Linked DNA regions of Danio rerio. The protein of the gene in region 1 purifies or fractionates together with the protein of each later gene. This does not show direct contact. Links are inferred from orthologs where the notes say so. Each region holds a gene or a part of one and is shown in the gene's direction. Other genes may lie near its edges.

What was found.
Region 2: the proteins of rexo4 (region 1) and rrs1 purify together in Homo sapiens (co-immunoprecipitation; 3 studies listed by BioGRID and IntAct, with this or other methods). This does not show direct contact. The link is inferred for Danio rerio from reciprocal best matches to the Homo sapiens genes REXO4 and RRS1.

The regions. Positions count from the first base shown.
Region 1 is NC_133196.1:7,188,934-7,192,769, forward strand, and holds part of rexo4 (RNA exonuclease 4), read left to right. Parts: intron 1-2,549; coding exon 2,550-2,702; intron 2,703-2,783; coding exon 2,784-2,977; intron 2,978-3,836.
Region 2 is NC_133199.1:27,758,210-27,761,412, reverse strand, and holds rrs1 (ribosome biogenesis regulatory protein homolog), read left to right. Parts: upstream 1-1,248; 5' UTR 1,249-1,257; coding exon 1,258-2,298; 3' UTR 2,299-2,576; downstream 2,577-3,203. UniProt on the Homo sapiens protein: Involved in ribosomal large subunit assembly. May regulate the localization of the 5S RNP/5S ribonucleoprotein particle to the nucleolus.

The DNA.
Region 1 (3,836 bases):
GATATTTATTTTGTGTTTGGACTTGTGAGGGAAACCAGGAGGAAAACCACACAAACATGCAAACTCCACACAGAAACACTAAATGACCCAGCCGAGGCTCGAACCATTGACCTTTTTGCTGTGAGGCGGCAGTGCTACCCATTGTGCTGCCCCCTTTTGAGACTATTTCAGTTAATTTTATGCATTTGGCAGCGTCTGATTTTAGAGCAATTTTTAAGTTTCTCTGAGCTTTTTGACACCGCCTTTCCTTTTTTCACGGTCCATCTCTGACAATTAGCTTGTGTTGCACCTAATGTTTGTTTGACATTCTTGCCAGATTTTGATTATGTCATGCGTAACCTCTGATTGGGTGGGCCCATCTCGAAACCAGCTGGCCATTACCGATTGGGCCAATGCTTAACATTTATTATTATTATTACTATTATCATCATCATTATCATCATCTTTATCATAATATTCACCTCTTGCAAGAAACAAAAACTGCCTGTATGTAAAATGAATACTTATTAAAAAAAAATGTAATAAAAAATAGCATACCGGCCCACATTTAAAAAAAAATGGTCCAGCCCTTCTGGCATTTGCCAGAATTGCCAGATGGCCAGTCCGCCCCTGCAGTTTATGATATTACAAGACGGATTACATTCATTTTCTTGTATGATTTATAGACAAATATTTCTTTAATTTAATATTTTTATTAGTTATAATAGTTTTAAGAATAAAAATCATAAATTGTGAGATTTAAACAGCTTTATTATATTAATTGTTATAATTTTTTTATTTATTGTGTTTGGAGAAAACACAGAAGTGAAGTCAGAAATGTGTGTTTGTGTTTGTGTGTGTGTGTGTGTGTGTGTGTGTGTGTGTGTGTGTGTGTGTGTGTGTGTGTATACAGTTGAAGTCAGAATTATTAGCCCCCCTAAATTATTCCCCCACCGTTTATTTTATCCCTAATTTCTGTTTAACGGAGAGAAGATTTTTATCAACACATTTCTAAACATAATAGTTTTAATAACTCATTTCTAATAACTGATTTGTTTTGTCTTTGCCATGATGACAGTAAATAATATTTGACTAGATAAATAATTTTGACCTTAAAATGGTTCATAAAACTTTGAACAACTTTTTTTCTAGTCAAAATAAAGCAAAAAAGACTTTCTACAGAAGAAAAAATATCAGACATACTGTGAAAATTTTCTTGCTCTGTTAAACATCATTTGGGAAATGCTTAAAACAGAAAAAAAGGGGGGTAAACCTTCTATATATGTATAACCTTCTATAAACAACTCCATTCTGTGGCGGAGAAAAAAAAACAGGATTGCAAGATGTTAATTTCGAAAGGCAAGAAAAAAAATATAATGGGAAAAGTTTTTTTTATGTTGCCGGACAGAAGAATTTTCAAGTTGAAGTCAAAATTAGAGATTTAGACTCTCAAAAGTCCAAAATTTTGTGAAAAATCCACATTTTTTTGATTTTTTTTTATCAGTTATGCCAACAAAAAAACTGTATTGGAATAAATGCACTTTTTTAGATAATTAAACAATTTAAAGGAAGAAAATCTAAAATCTGAGAAATATAGCTGCATTTCTAAGAAATTATAAAGGTGAGGGAAAAAGAAGAAAAGAACGAAAAAAAAGTTTGAGCTAAAGTCAAAATTATATATATAATGTAAACTCATTTCTGTAAAAAGTCACAATATACTATCAAAAATCCAAAATTTCCAGTAGATTGGAAGTGTAATATATAAAATAACTAAAAGAAGAAAAAAAATCTGAGTTGTGTGAAATAAACTTGCAATTCTAATATAAATGTCAGAATTGTGAAGCAAAGTGTTGCATTTGTTTATTTATTTTGTTTACACTTTGTTCCATGGCAAAAATAAAAACACTAAAGCTAAAGTCAAAATTAGAGATATGAACTCTAGAGAAGATATGATTAGAGGTATGAATTATGAGATCAGATAGAAAATATGTGGAGCAAGCTAAAAAGCTATTGCAAAAAATAAACAAAATAACTAGAAAAATCTACATTAATAAATTAAATATCTAATGTTTAATCTAAATAAATACACTGAAAAAAGCTGAATGACCTATAGCTGGGGTCACCAATCTTGGTCCTAGAGGGCCAGTGTCCCTGCTGGCTTTAGCTCTAACTTGCCTCATCACACCTGCCTGGGTGTTTCAAGTTTACCTAGTATGAGCTTGATTAGCGTGTTCAGGTGTATTTGATTAGGGTTGGAGCTAAAATCTGCCGGACACTGGACCTCCAGGAACAAGTTTAATGACCCCTGGTCTAAAGTCAAGAAGTGAGAGATAAACTCAACTTATATTTATAAAATATTGTCAAATTGATCTGGTTTTGCCATAAAATAGCCAGAGATGCTGACATGGCAATAAATTCTAAACTCTCAACTCTCTCTCCATATAAACACAGAGTTCAAGGGGAAAAATCGGAAAATAGCCAATGCATTTGCAAGAAAAAAAAGCTTCGTTGTTGATAACCAACTTCCATCCTACATCTTTTTTTATATGTAACCCCCTGTTTTCCCTCAGGCCGGACCTCTGGTTTGACGACGTGGACCCCGATGACATCGAGTCCGCTTTAGGGACAGAAGCTGCGGACATCATGCGGAAACGCTGCGGATTAGCGAAGTGCGATCCAAAAAACACAGAGAAGATGCTGGTGAAAGAGCATGCGTTTGAGGGGTATGTGAACATGACCACACTTGCTCCTGTCATTGCTAACAGGAAGTGATGTCACTCAATGATTTATTTTGTGGTTTTTAGAGTGACTCGTGCGGTTGCGATGGACTGCGAGATGGTGGGTGTTGGATATAAGGGAGAGGACAGTATTTTAGCCCGAGTCTCCCTCGTCAACCACTTCGGGAAATGTATCTATGACAAATACGTCAAACCCACAGAGAAGGTTACGGACTACCGAACGGCGGTTAGCGGCATCAGACCGGACGACATCAAGAATGGTCAGAACTTTAATAATAGACATTGTTATAGTTATATACTGAAGTAAGAATGATTAACCCTTCTGAAATATTAGCCCTCCTGTAAATTTATTCTAATGGAGCTAAGTTAAATAGTTTAATAACTTATTTCTAGTAACGGATTTCTTTAATCTGCCATGATGACAGTGAATAATATTTATTTTGAATAATAGGCTTAACTAGGTTGGTTAGGTTAACTAGGCAGGTTAGGGTAATTAGGCAAGTTATTGTATAATATTGGTTTGTTCTGTAGACTATCAAAAATAAATATAGCTTAAAGGGGCTAATAATTTTGACCTTAAAATGGTTTAAAAAATTTAAAGCTGCTTTTATTTTAGCCGAAATAAAACAAATAAGACTTTCTCCAGAAGAAAAAATATTATAGGAAATACTGTGAAAATTTCCTTGCTCTGTTAATCATCATTTGGGAAATATTTTTTAACAAATTCACAGGAGGGCAAATCAGTTTGACCCCAACTGTATATATGTGCAATATCACACTCATAGCAGTGTGATATGGATGTATATCGGCAGTGGTGGGAGGGGTGTGTTGGCATGAGGCCATAGGCAGAATGCCTTAGCGTCCCACCAGTGACGATATACAGCCATATCACACTGCTATGAGTGTGATATTGCATTTATACTACAGTTCGACAGCATAATCGTGTATTTAAAAAAAAAATCAAACATGGAGAGTCTAAAAAGCCCAGTTCTAACTGTTTTTGCCACATTTCTGCATTTATATCTTGCAATTTTGATTTTCCCTCTATAAATTTTGCATTCATTAAACAGTTTTTGTTTTTCTAAATTGAAATAACCCATTGTCAGGATTTTAAAAAGA
Region 2 (3,203 bases), on another chromosome or scaffold:
GCCAAAACAACAGATTTCCGCGCCAAAGTGTCTTCCCGGGGAAACTCGAGCAGCGGATATGACGTTCTCACCAGCCGACCAATCTGAACAAGTTGATTCGAACTGTTGTAGACAGACTTTATTCAGTGTATTTTTTAGCACATTCATTTTTTTATATCGGAGACTTGAGTTTTTTGTTATTTTACAATTAAAGATCATTTTGTTTGCGTAACTGAACAGTAATGCAAATACTACTACTACTACTACTACTACTACTACTACTACTACTACTAATAATAATAATAATAATAATAATAATTATAATAATAATAATAATAACAAGTTTGTTTTTGTTTGCATACTGTATGCAGAGGCAATTTCCAGATTTTTTCTGTTAGAATTTTCAAGAATAACATTGGCATCAGTTCAGAAATCATATTATCAGTTCAGTATCACTTGTTCAGTAATAATATAATCCAAACAGATCCAAAAAATCAGTTTTAAAATCATACCAAAAACACAATTTAAGTATTATTAAGGATAATTAATTATTTTTAGATATTTGTAGTGGTCGATGATAAAACAAATACAACCGTGCGTGTGTATAACTGCAACAAAATAAATAAATCAATATTTCTACCACAACTATGGGTTTCACTTATAGGTTTTACTGGCATTTAGAAACCAATCATTTGTCCCAGGTTACACATCCACAGAACCGATATATATCTAAATAAATTTAATATTTTATCAAAACGAACCATTTGCTCCGTATGCTTAACCCACCGGTTCGGTTCGGCTATAAGATTCACGCATCCACAAACTGAATCACTGAGTCAGGTTCGTTTGAATCATGTCTTCGAGCACTTCAGGTAACTTCTGGCATGTGGCCACTTTATTGATTCTGATCACAAAAATGTCGACTCTGGTGGGACTCGAACCCACAACCTTTGAATGACCCCATTCAACAATCTAGAAGTCCAATGCGCTATCCATTGCGCCACAGAGCCGATGGGACGTCCTGTCGGTTTATCGCTACTCCTGCATTCGACCGAACAACTTTCGTCCGAAGTAAGTTAGTTAGTATCATAAACATATACACTTAGGATAAACGTTTTACTAGCTAAAACATGTTTAAAGATTGTTATATTTCTTTAACTCATTTGAAATGTTTATTTTATTTTTTAAGTTAGTTTTTAGTTCTTTTATTTTGAAATACCAGACTTCCGCTTTTAGCGGCACATGTGGGAACCCACGTTGTCTGTCAGTAGAACCAAAATGGCTTCGTGCAGTATTGAAGACGTGCTCGCTAAAGCTGAAAGAGACGAGGCTGAGAAGCTCAAAAGTATTACGGTGCTCAAAGAGTTGGATCTTGAATTCGACCCGGGACTTTTGCTGGCGTTTGACAAGAACCGACTTGACACACGGGACTTTAAAGGCAACAAACGGGAGGACTGTCTTCGCTCTTTAGCGCGAGACAACACACAACTTCTCATCAACGAGATATGGAAACTACCCACAGAGAGAGTCGACGAAGTGATCGTCGCCAAGCTGCCAGAACCGACCACTAAACTACCCAGAGAAAAACCAGCACCGAAACCTAAGCCTCCTACTAAATGGGAACAGTTTGCCAAGCTGAAAGGCATTCAGAAGAAAAAGAAGACCAACTTGGTCTGGGATGAAGTTCACAAGGAGTGGAAGAGGAGATGGGGGTATAAACGTGCCAAAGATGACACCAAAGAGTGGTTGATTGAGGTCCCGGCGACTGCAGATCCAAACGAAGACCAGTTCGCCAAAAGGAATAAAGCCAAAAAGGAAAGAGTGGCCAGAAACGAGTACAACAGACTCAAAAACATCGCCAGAGCTCAGAAGGTCAAGGTTCCTGGAACAGGACTCCTGCCTACATCCCAGCAGACCAAAGCGGAGCTGGCACAAGCGGTCAGTCTGGCCAAAATATCCACCGCATCGGTTGGCAAATTCCAGGAGAAGCTGCCCAAGGAAAAACCAGCCAGAAACACTGGGAAGAAGAGGAAATTCCAGCCTCTTATTGGGGACTTCAGTAGCGAGAAGCAAAAACAGCTGGATTTATTGAAGGTGATGGACAGTAAGAAGCCCCGTCTCGATATCACTAAAGCTGTGAATAAGCAGATGAGGGAAGAGGACTCGGAGTCTGCTCGGAATAATAAGAAAGGGTTTGGAAAGAAGGGACGCAAGGGAGGCATGCCTGGTAAAGGAAAAGGCAAAGGAAAACCTGGAGGAAAGGGAAAAGCTCCTAAAGGCAAAGGGCGCAAACCTCAGATGAAGCAAGGAAAGCGCTAACATTTAAAGCAGTGTGGTGGACTTATGATGTTTATTGTAGAATATAATAAATATTGCACACGACTCAACTTCTCTTAAGTCATGACTTTGAGTGCCTTGCGGCTGGAGTTTGATTCAGTACAGGAATCGGGTTTGTTTATGTGTTTAGGCTTTATCTACATATGTCATGGATTAAGATCATTGAACCGTTTTCATAAATGTCATCTAATATTGACTCCTGTTATTCATTCGTAATTGTGTTTTCACATTAAATTAAAATTCTTTCTGATTTGCCATCAGTTCCTGGTTGGATATTGTGAATAATGAGGTTATATTTCATCCCCAAAGTTATTTAAAAATGAGTATAAATGTGTCAAAGCCTGCTGTTAATGGGTAACATTTGTACTTAAATAGTATGTTCTTATAATGTAATATAAAATATCATCAAATGTGTATTTTAGAATTATAAAGCTAAAATATCACCTTAAAAAATTGAAGCTAAGATTCAATTAATAAAGTATTTGAGCAATTTTAATGAAAAGAATATGATTAGATTTATCTTATACCATCAAATAGAGGAGACATCCCATTTCAGTGTCTACCTAAGTTCACAAATGTGATTTTTAATTACAGCAATCAAATTAAATCTAATTAAATTGTTTAGTGATTTAAATAACTTTTGTGAAATTAAAAATATGAGTTAAAAACGCTGTATTGTCATTTAGTGTTATGTGAAAATGAAACCTACTGTTATTCTGATCTGTGATGTGACAAATATGTATAAAATAATAACTTAAAGCTTTCCCAGAGATGGGTTGCAGCTGGAAGGGCATCCACTGCATAAAACATAAACTGGAAAAGATGGCAGTTCATTCTGCTGTGGCGACCCCGGATTAATAAAGGGACTAAGCCGAAAATAAAATACA